2 linked regions of the Macaca mulatta genome follow. The protein of the gene in region 2 interacts with the protein of the main gene of each other region in a pairwise test. Links are inferred from orthologs where the notes say so. Each region holds a gene or a part of one and is shown on either strand. Other genes may lie near its edges.

Region 1 (5,590 bases), on a different chromosome or scaffold from region 2:
TGGGAGGCCGAGGCAGGCAGATCACCTGAGGTCAGGAGTTCGAGACCAGCCTGACCAATATGATGAAACCCCATCTCTACTAAAAATACAAAAAGTAGCCAGGCGTGGTGATGCACACCTGTAGTCCCAGCTGCTCGGGAGGCTGAGGCAGAAGAATTGCTTGAACCCGGGAGGGGAAGGTTGCGGTGAGCCGAGATTGTGCCACTGCACTCCAGTCTGGGAAACAAAAGCGAAATTCCATCTCAAAAAAAAGATACATCAATCAGTCATCAGTGATATGAAGAAAAAATGGAGCACAGGGGACTGCAAGTAATAGGGTGTGGCCATGGAAGACCTGTCTGAGGAGATGACATTTGACATTTCAGAAGAGACCTGAATGAGAGGGACTCAGTCATGCAGACAGCTGGGAGAGGAGGGTTCCTGGGAGAGGGAGTGGCAGGTCTGACACAGAACTGTGCTTTGCGTGGGCAAGGGATCCTGGTAGTCAAAGTCAGAGGGAACGTGGTAGGAAATAAGGTCAGAGGTAGGCAGAGGCCAGATCATATTGTGCCATAAAGTCGTCACTGAGGAAGGACTATAGACTTTATTCTAAGTTACTCGAAGCCACGGAGAGTGACGAGCAGTGGAGGGATGTGATCTGACTTACTGTTTAGAATTATCACACTGGTTTTTGCGTGAAGATAGTATGTTGGGGCCAAGAGTTAAAGCAAGGAAACCAATCAGGAACGTTATTACAAAGATTCCTGTGAAACACAGTGGCTTAGACCCAAGTGGTGGCAACAGAGGAGCAAGAGGTGGTTGGGTTTGGGGTAAATGCCCAGGGTAATGCAGACAGAATCTATTGGTTGACTGGAAGTGGGGCATGAAAGAAAAAGAGCTCCAAGTCAAGAATGGCTCCAAGGTTTTTGACTAAGTCACTAGATGATGGGAAACACGTGGGGAGTAGCAGGTTTATGTGGGGAGATGTTTTGGTTTGAGATGTCTGTTAGGCAGCTAGTTAGAAATGCCCACTAGAAACTTGAATAGGCTGGGTGCGGTGGCTCACGCCTGTACCCAGCACTTTGGGAGCCTGAGGCGGGCAGATCATTTGATGTCAGGAGTTCAAGACCAGCCTGGCTAACATGGTGAAATCCTATCTCTACTAAAAATACAAAAAAAAAAAAAAAAAATTAGCCTGGCGTGGTGGCGGGTGTCTATAGTCCTGGCTACTCAGGAGACGGAGGCAGGAGAATCGCTTGAACCTGGGAGGCAGAGGTTGCAGTGAGCCGAGATCATGCCACTGCACTCCAGCCTGAGCAACAGAGCGAGACTCTGTCTGAAAGAAAGAAAGAAAGAAAGAAAGAAAGAAAGAAAGAAAGAAAGAAAGAAAGAAAGAAAGAAAGAAAGTTGTATAAATAACCCTAAAACTCAAGGGGACAAAAACCTTCCCTGTTAAATGCCCTGGTTTCTAATAATTGGGGGTAGCACGTCAGTTCCTGAGTCCTGCTGTAACTTCAGTTGGCAGCTTTCTATTGCATTAGGCATAGCCATCTGGAGTTGTAATCATCTGGACGCATTTCAACACCCAAGCAAAACTGAGCAGTGACGCCAGCCCTGCCAGGGAATTGCAAGGTAGCACAGAACGTGAATTGGTTAAACTCCACACAACAGCGTGTTGCTTGGAGACCAGCTCCACAAATTGGTGCCGGGGGTTATTCAAGTTCATGCAAGATGGACTCTGTCACAGAGCCACTCCCTAATTGTAAATTGGCTAATCCTCTCCTCCAAGCAAGCCAGGAAGGCCACGAGTAGGGGATGAGAAAGGGCAAGGCCAAATGACTGACTTTGCAGGTTTGGAGGACAGTGTGGCAGAGTGGAAAGAGCACAGTCTTTGGACGCAAACAGACCTAGATTCACATTTCTTCTCTGCTCCTTCCTACCTAGGTGATCTCTGACTTGTTACTTTACCTTTCTGAATCTAAAGCTCAGGTTACTTGGACACAAAGTGAGATAGGATTGTTGTAAAGATTAAATAAGTTTCAAGGGCCGGGCGTGGTGGCTCATGCCTGTAATCCCAGCACTTTGGGAGGCCAAGGCAGGCGGATCACAAGGTCAAGCGACAGGGACCATCCTGGCCAGTGTGGTGAAACCCCATCTCTACTAAAAAGACAAAAATTAGCTGGGCGTCATGGCACGTGCCTGTAATCCCAGCTACTCTGGAGGCTGAGGCAGGAAAATCACTTGAACCCAGGAGGCGGAGGTTGCAGTGAGCTGAGATCATGCCACTGCACTCCAGCCTGAGCGACAGAGAAAGACTCCACCTAAAATAAAAAATAAAAGAAAGAAAGAAACGAAGAAAGGAAGAAAGGAAGAAAGAAAGGATGGATGGAAGGAAGGAAGGAAGGAAGGAAGGAAGGAAGGAAGGAAGGAAGGAAGGAAGGAAGAAAAGAAGAAAGGAAGAAAGGAAGAAAGGAAGAAAGGAAGGAAGGAAGGAAGAAAGGAAGAAAGGAGGTTAAATTTCACATGCGAACCCCTGGCACCCGGTAGGCATTTGAAAAGAACAGTTCCCTTCTCCCCTGTCCAAGTTCCCTCTCTTCATAAAGTCAATATTCAGAGATAACCCTCTCTTCCACCGCCCCCCACCTGGGCTTTCTTTCACTCGGCTCCAATTCCAAATCTTCAGGCTCTAACTCCTGAAGGAAATGTCTCCTCCAGCCTCCCCACCCTCCTACAGCTAGCACATGGCATTTGATTGTTTTTCTAGAAATAAAGACCAGATCAGCAACATCTTTTCTGGGTTCGCGGGACTCCTTGCCATCCTCCTGGTCGTTGCAGTTTTCTGCATCCTGTGGAACTGGAATAAACGGAAGAAGCGTGAGTCCCTTGTTTGTCCTGAGTTTAGACATAGTAGGATTAATAATCTAGCCTGGAATGTAAAGCCCAGCTTATTTACCAGGGATAAACTATTGGCCTGGAGAGTCCTCAGTTCTTACCTGATACACTGGTCATTGCCTCACTCAAGATCCTGAACTGTGGCTCCAAAGGCCCAGTGCTGATGGAGTTCCCCTGGGAAAATCATTGCCCTGGTGCCCCTGTGTCCAGTTTCTTCTTTACTTTCTGTCCATCAAGTCCCCTATTCCTCTCACTCAAATGAAAATTCAAATAGGAATCCCCTATTCCTCTCACTCAAATGAAAACTCAAATCTGAAAGTGTATTTTTGTGAGAACTGGCAAGGATGGGGAGCATTTCCAGGGGCCATCTCATTCCCATGAGTTCCTTCACTCTGTGTAGCTGACCCCTGCCTTGACTCCCATCTCTCTCATTGCCTTGCAGGGCAAGTTCCTTACCTCCGAGTTACCGTCATGCCCTTGCTGACTCTGCCACAAAACAGACAAAGAGCCAAAAATATTTATGACATCTTGCCTTGGCGACAGGAAGACCTGGGTAGGTTTTTCCTTCTAATCTATGGAGTCCAGATGTTCAAACTTCCACTCCCAGAATGTGCCTCTCACCCTCCAGAAGCAACTTTCTCTAAGTTCTCAAACCTGTTTGCCCTTCAGAGAGTATCAGGGAGAATGGGATAGACAGACCGTCAGCTGCAACTCCGGGGGAACCTGGAGGGCTCCAAAGAGGGAGCAGAGGGTCATCTGGGCTGGGAGTTTTGTTTTTTCTTTTTTTTTTCTTTTTTTTTTTTTTTTTTTGAGACGGAGTCTGGCTCTGTCGCCCAGGCTGGAGTGCAGTGGCCAGATCTCGGCTCACTGCAAGCTCCGCCTCCCGGGTTCGCGCAATTCTCCTGCCTCAGCCTCCCGAGCAGCTGGGACTACAGGCGCCCGCCACCTCGCCCGGCTTATTTTTTTTTTGTATTTTTAGTAGAGACGGGGTTTCACCGTGTTAGCCAGGATGGTCTCGATCTCCTGACCTCATGATCCGCCCGTCTCGGCCTCCCAAAGTGCTGGGATTACAGGCTTGAGCCACCGTGCCCGGCCGAGTTTTGTTTTTTCTTAATATTAAGGCAACAGAAGAAAGCCACGTGTGTCCAGGCATGGGGAGACACAAAGGAGGAGAACTCAGTGCCAGCATCACAGGCAGAGGAGGGGCGGGGAGGAGGTTCTCCCACAGGACCGTGTTTCTCAGCCTCCCAATCCCCGTGATAGCATCCGCCAATGCCACAGAAGCTGAGGGGCTTCCGGTTCTCAGAGTGTCATCCCCATAGCTCTGACCTCAGAACACAGGAGAACACAGGACCCAAGGCTGGAAATTCCAGACACCATACAAACCCAGTTCATCCATGATGCAGGGATTATTTGGGCTGAAGCACTCAGAGGACTGGCTATCTTCAGAATTTGTTCTCTGTCCTTTCAGGGAGACATGAGTCAAGGAGTATGCGCATTTTCAGTACTGAGAGCCTCCTCTCCAGAAATTCTGAGAGCCCTGAGCATGTGGTAAGAGTCATGCTTCTCGGGAGAATGACATGTCTCTGGCAGAAGAACTGAGGGGAAAGAGTTATAGGGCTTGGATCTGGTCTCACTGCAAACAAACAGCATGTCCTTTGGCGCTCGCCCTGCGGTCCTATTAATAAATTGGGAAGACTAGCCTCAGGACCTCCCTAGACCCAAAAAGAAAAATTAAGGACAGAGGCAAGTGCTTGGAATTTTAAAAAGGGCACCAGGGTACAGATATTCAAGTGCACAATGTCAGAACTGAAATTGATTGGTATGTATAGATGTAGTTTTTTTTTTTTTTTAGATGGAGTCTTGCTCTCCCACCCAGGCTGGAGTGCAGTGGTGTGATCTTGGCTCACTGCAACTTCTGCTTCCCAGGTTCAAGCGGTTCTCCTGCCTCAGCCTCCCAAGTAGCTGGGATTATAGGCATGTGCCACCACGTCCAGCTGATTTCTGTATTTTTAGTAGAGATAGGTTTTCACTATGTTGGCCAGGATGGTCTCGATCTCTTGACCTTGTGATCTGCCCACGTTGGCTTCCCAAAGTGCTGGGATTACAGGCATGAGTCACTGTGCCCAGCCATTTTTTTTTTTTTTCCCTCACTCCAACCTCTGCTTCCTGGGCTCAAGCGATCCTCCTACTCCAGTCCCCCAAGTAGCTGGGACCACAGGCACACACCACGACGCCTGGCCAGCTTTCGTATTTTGTGTAGAGATGGGGTTTCACCATATTGCCCAGGCTGGTCTCAAACACCTGAGTTCAAGCAATCTGCCCACCTTGGCCTCCCAAAGTGCTGAGATTACAGGTGTGAGCCACCATGCCCTGCCAATTGATTATTTTAACAAAGACATGACAACATGCTTATTCAAATGAATGTCGCTCCCTTCAAAGTAATCATCTCAGGAGGGTATGCAAATATTCCAACAATGCCATTGGTGCTCAAAACACACTTACGACCCTGCTTTGGATATTACTTCCAGGGCTTATGTCAATTATTTCAATTACCCTCAGGAGCAGAAATGTCTGTAAGTCATTCAGCACTGTAGCTGATGTAGAAAGTGTTTGATCAAATGAGGTTGTTACAGGACCAACAGGTTTGTGTGTCTGCTGCCTGGTAACACAACATACACTGTCTCTACTAAAAATACAAAAGAATTAGCCAGGCGGT
Region 2 (5,619 bases):
CAAGGGCACCCGGTACCCCCAGGCAAGGCCAATCTCACCCATGTCTTATCACTTACAGGGGCTGCACAGACACTCAGGACAAGTAAAGACAGGAGGGCCGGCAAAGGCGAGCACTAGAGGTGGAGGTGGGGCTGGCCCCTCCTCCTCAGGAACCAGGCAGACCCCTTTGGCTGGACTGAGACCTGGGAGAACCTGCAATCCCAGCCCCTAGCCTGTTCTCCGAACACTGGGCCAGTACTATGAGGCCACCTGGGGCACCTGGGATTGACCCCTCAGGAGGGCGCAGGCACCTGACCCCTCAGTGAGGGCATCAGGGGATTTGGGGGACAGGTGAGTCAGGGCAGGCGGGACAACACTGCCTAGGGCTCTCCATTCAACCTTGACTCATCCACACAACTTCCTGGCTTAGGAGAAACAAAAACAGCCCTGCCTCTACCCTCCCCCCAACTCCCCAACCCAATGGTAGCCACAGCCGAATGGGGGAGGCATGGGGCTGGGAACAGGATGGGGGAGGAACATGTGGGGCCTGAGGCTCCTCTGACATCACCTCCTCCTCCCCACCCTCGGCCTTGCTCCAGGCCAGGTGGGACCTGTGATCTGCTCTCACCCCCAGTGCCAAACCACCGCCTTGCCAGGGAGTCCCTCACCTGGGAAAGAGAGAGGCAATGCCCGGCCTGGATTCAGAGGCCCATTTGGAGAGAAGCCAGTGTCCCAGCGGTGCCCCTCCCCACCCAAAGCATCGCTCAGAGCCCCCGCCCCGTGTGGATGAGGTTCCTCCCGACACATTCTCCTGGGTGTCCTGGCCAGAGGGGTACCACAGGAGCAGGAGCAGAAAGGGAAAACACTCAAAAAGACAGACAGGATGAAGGGCCAGGGAGGGGGCCCAGGGTCTGGCCAGGAGGGGCAAGATATACCCGCCACCCGCTAGCAAGAGACACCAGCACCTCAATATCAGAACACGATCCCCCACTCCCACCCCAGTCTACCCTCCAAACAGCCCCGGTCTCCAAACAGCCCTGGTGACTTCATTCCAGGTTGCAGGGGGCCAACAGTGGGATGGGGAGAGGAGCAGAGAATTCAGGAGGGCAGCGATTGGAAGGGGTTAGAAGTGGATTTGAATCACATTACAGCCTGGCCTCAGAGATCAGAGAGGGCCAGCCTAAGGCTGGGGTTTGCCTTCAGATCCCCCCACCCGGGCCCTTCAGCCCCTTCTAAGGCTGGAGGCGGGTGGAATCCTCAAGACCAAAGAGGCGAGCAGGGAGGGGAAGGGCTCCTGGCTGTAGGCCTGGCAGCTTAGAGATCTGGAGTTTTGAAACTGAGGCACCGGGAAAGTTTCGGTTGGAAAAACCGACCCCCAAAATCAGTTTGTCCCCTCAACGAGGTAACTCCGGCGGTGTCTTCCCAGCTGCCTCCTCCCCCAGTGGCTCCAGCCCCACCCGCGTTCCCGTCCTCCCAACCTCCTTGTTTACTTCCTGAATCACGCCCCACCTGGCTGGCCCTAAGGGCGGGTGGCGGGGCCCGGTGTTCAGGGCCAACAGAAAACAACTCTACTTCCCAGAGTAGGGGGAAGGGCTTGCGGGACTGAGGCCTGGGCCAGGGGCCTGGATGTGGCGGGAGCGTCCCTGTCCGCCCAGTACTCCACGCCCCGCCCCCACGGGACAGGCTTATAACCTTTTAGGGTGCAGGGCCCAGGTGAGAAGGTGAGAAACCCCTGGATGACTCCTAGTAGAAGGGAGGACCCAGGACTCTGAGGCCCCGCCCACTCTCACTCAGGAAAAATACCCAATGAGAGAAGGCGGGGCAGCTCTTTTAAAGTTTAATTCGGGAAGAATGCTGGAGTGTCTGTGCGGTTAATCATTACAGGCTGCCTGCTTCCATGAGGTCCCCCCACCCCGCACACAGCAGGATATCAGGAGAGAGCAGAGTCCAAGACCGGCGGACCAAAAGGGAGCATTCCTGGTGGGCAGTGAGGCTGGAGCGGGGCGGCGAGGGGGGGTTCCACCTTGCCGGCAGGTGCATTCTCTGTCCTCAATCTGCCAGGGAGACCCAGACCGGGTACCTGGGTCTCTCCTTAGCCTCATCAAGCAGAGGAAACCATCTGCCATCCCCTACCCCACTCTCCCCAGGCCCCACCGCACTGCAGAGCCCCTCACCCACCCCTCTAGCCTTCCTGGCCACTTCATGCTGAAGCCAGGAGGGACCCCGGCTCACCCGGCCTCCACTTTCCCACCCGAGGGCCGGAGGCGATGTTGCTGAGCAGGGCATACAGTCTGGAGAGATGGAGCCTCAACAATTTAGAGGATCCCTCTCCTTCACCGTCCTCCAAAGTGGAGGGGGCCCTCCCCACATCTCCCCGCAGCCCGCGGAGACGTCTGTCTTAGAGACTTGGGGAAACCCAAACTGGGGTAAACTGGGCGAGCCAGGGAGTGAGGGCGGCTCTCCCAGGGTGTGCGGGGAGGGGCCAGTTTCAGCGGGAAAGCCAAGTCGGAGGAGAGAATCAGGTCTTCCTTCCCATTCTCGCTGCTGGCTTCGGGGAGGTGTACCGGGAGGGAACAAGGAGGGCTGGAAACCAGGATGGGGACGAAAGAGGGCGGGTGGGGAGGAGGGGGCGGGGTGGGAGATGGGAGGAAAAGAGAAAAGTGGGAGGCCGAGCAACCCAGCAGGAGACCCAGCCTTTCCCTACCGGCCCCCAGACCGGCCGTGCCTGCCCCCAAAGGATGAATGCCCGCTTGGGTTCTTACCTGAACCCCGAACATCAGGACACCCGGCTGGGACCACGTCTTCAGGGAGGGAGACGCCAGGCCCTTAAGTACCTGTCCCCCTCCAGCCCCCGCCCCGGGCCTGACATCACCGAGCGGGGGAGGGGGAGAGCCAGGTGGCTCCAATCCGCCCACCTGGGCCGACGGCCAGTTCGGCCGGAGACGGGCACAGCCTGGGGCCCTGGTGCGGCTGGGGGTTGCCTGGCAGGCTGTTGTCTGAGACCGATCTCTGTCCCCTTACCTGGAGGAGCCCCAGCAGGAGTAGCAGGACACCCGTTCCGAAGTCTGGCTCCGTCTAGGAAACCCCAGATTCCTGGATTTTATTTCAGATCCACTCCCGCTTCTCTACAGGTGGTAGGAGGGTGTCCCGACTTCGGACAGAGAAGTCAGGGCCGGGGGAGCCCTGTGTGTCCAGATTCCAGGCCCAAGGAAACTAAAATTATCTTGGGCAGATGGGGGCGTGTCCAGGGGAGGCGCCTGGGAGGAGGAAGCCTGGGAGGAGGGTGGGGACTCCCTGACACTCTACGCCAACTGGGATTGTTTTTGCCCTTCCTAGCCTGGCAGCAGGTGCCAAGAGAGGGTGCAGGTGCCTAGGAAGAGGCGGGGAAGACAGCCGAACAGACAGCACCAACAGCGAAGATCAAGAGTCCCGACCACCTGGGAGGGCGGGGGGAGGGTCTGAGGGCTGCAAGGTAAAGGGAACCACCGGTCCACTCCTCCCAAACATCCTCCCTGAACCTGGTCTGTTCATTGGCCAAGCCAGGGGGCACTTCTGCAGCTCTGGATCCCACCCCATGGGGCAAAGAGCACCCTGCCAAGGAGGGACGCCAGCCACGGGGGTGTCCAGCAACATGGCCTGCCCGTCGATCTGCAGGCACCCATACCATGGTGGCTGTGCCCTGGCCCCTCAGAGGCACCCAGGGTAAGCCCCTCTCCCGCCCCCCACCTTCTGAGCAAAGTCCAGAGTCTTGGCTTCCCCTTTAAAATCGAGGGGCTTAGGCTGGGTGGCACAGTGGGAGAAGCCATGGTGACCCAGAGAAAGCTCTGGCCTGGGCCCCTGGAGATTCCTCTTAGAGGGATCACTTTATTTTTTTGAGACAGAGTCCTGCTCTGTCACCCAAGCTGGAGTGCAGTGGCGCCATCTCGGCTTACTGCAAACTCCGCCTCCTGGGTTCAAAAGATTCTCCTGCCTCGGCCTCCCGAGTAGCTGGGATTACAGGCCACACACCCAGCTAATTTTTGTATTTTTAGTAAATCGGGGTTTCTCCACGTTGGCCACGTTGGTCTCGAACTCCTGACCTCGTGTAATCTGCCCACCTCGGCCTCCCAAAGTGTTAGGATTACAGGTGTGTGCCACCGCACCCGGCCTGAGGGATCGATTTAGTTCTCTCAGGGATCACTTTAGCTCTCTAGTTCAGCACTGGGCAAACAGGGTACTTGGGAGAAGGGTTGGGAGGCAGAAATCAAAGGCTGTGGCCACCACCCAGCTTGATGCGGGTGACAGGAAAACAAACAATCCTTAGGGTGATAAGAGGTCCACCATGGGGGGGGCACAGAGGAGTGACTCCTGCCTCAATTTTCTCCAGAGTTTTCCTAGGAAAACCGGTATGAATGTGCCCAGCAAAGAAGTGGGGGAGGAGGCAAGGTCTCTTGGGTGATGGAGCAGCTTGTGCAAAGGCAGAGTAGACAATTCACTCATTAATTTATTCAACTCTCTGTTCAGTACCTACCATATGCCAGCCCCATGTTTGGTGCTGGGCATACTGGGGTAAGCAACAAAAACAGACCCCGCCCTATCCTCACACAGCCAATCAGGAAGATTGATGTTAATCAAAGAATCACACAAATAAGAAATGACAGGAGACAACTATGCTGGGAGAATGACTCACATAGGGAGTCAGGAAAGACTTCTCTGTGGAGGTGACAGCTGAGCAGAGGAGAAGGTGGCTGACATGGGAAGGGGGTTGGAATCAGTGGATGGGAACTGGGGAAGGAGGCCACCTTCCCAAGTGAGGAAACCACTGCCAGAGCTCTGGAGAGGAGGGGATGCAGCATGCGGAGACAGAGAGTGGGGTTGGAGGAGAAAGGAGGAAGCAGAGGCCACGTGGGTGAACCTGGACAGGTGTGGAAGGTGTGGAGAGAGGCCGCTATGCTTCTGCAAATGTGGCCTCCAGACCTCCCTAACCTTGTGTGGAAAACAGATCCTTGGGATCCTCTCCAGCAATTGAATCTCAGTCTGTGGGGCTAAGACACAGGAAGGTGTGGTATTGACAAGCCCTCAGGTGGCTGTTCCGCAAGCCAGGTTTGAGAGCCATCCATCCTGTTTGTCCAGATGGGCAGGAGTAGCGGTCAAAGACCAGACCCTTCAAGTTGTATTTAGACTTAAGTAGAAGCACAGAGGAGAGGGCACATTTACATTTTAGAAAGATCATCCTGGATGGTGAAGGATGGGATGGAAACGAAGCCACGGTCAGAGGGCTGAGTGCTGTAGGAATCAACTTATATGGCTTTCTGGAGGGGGTGGAACTGTGTGAACAAAAAGCAGGTCTGGGGTTGGGGAGGAGGGAGAGGGGTCCACAGTAGGGGGCACAGGGACTTGTGGGAGGTGATGGGACCATTCTGTATCTTGGTTGTGGGGTTGGATGCACAGCTGTGTGTGTTTCTTAGGACTCATAGAAAGGTACACTCAAGGCCGGGCGCGGTGGCTCACGCCTGTAATCCCAAGACTTTGGGAGGATGAAGTGGGCGGATCATGAGGTCAGGAGTTCAAGACCAGCCTGCCCGACATGGCAAAACCCTTTCTCTACTAAAAATACAAAAATTAGCCAGGCGTGGTGGCATGCACCTAAAATCCCAGCTA

The links. The genes of interacting proteins can lie anywhere in the genome.
Region 1: the proteins of GRB7 (region 2) and LAX1 interact in binary tests that used the Homo sapiens proteins (3 or more experiments, as listed by UniProt). The two-hybrid records come from large-scale screens. The link is inferred for Macaca mulatta from reciprocal best matches to the Homo sapiens genes GRB7 and LAX1.

Annotation. Positions count from the first base shown.
Region 1 is NC_133406.1:61,503,838-61,509,427, forward strand, and holds the start of LAX1 (lymphocyte transmembrane adapter 1), read left to right. Parts: upstream 1-1,847; 5' UTR 1,848-2,364; coding exon 2,365-2,522; intron 2,523-2,743; coding exon 2,744-2,853; intron 2,854-3,313; coding exon 3,314-3,424; intron 3,425-4,342; coding exon 4,343-4,422; intron 4,423-5,590. UniProt on the Homo sapiens protein: Negatively regulates TCR (T-cell antigen receptor)-mediated signaling in T-cells and BCR (B-cell antigen receptor)-mediated signaling in B-cells.
Region 2 is NC_133421.1:64,089,918-64,095,536, reverse strand, and holds the start of GRB7 (growth factor receptor-bound protein 7), read right to left. Parts: upstream 3,432-5,619; 5' UTR 3,001-3,431; intron 2,783-3,000; exon of another isoform or gene 2,742-2,782; intron 2,563-2,741; exon of another isoform or gene 2,212-2,562; intron 1-2,211. UniProt on the Homo sapiens protein: Adapter protein that interacts with the cytoplasmic domain of numerous receptor kinases and modulates down-stream signaling. Promotes activation of down-stream protein kinases, including STAT3, AKT1, MAPK1 and/or MAPK3. Promotes activation of HRAS.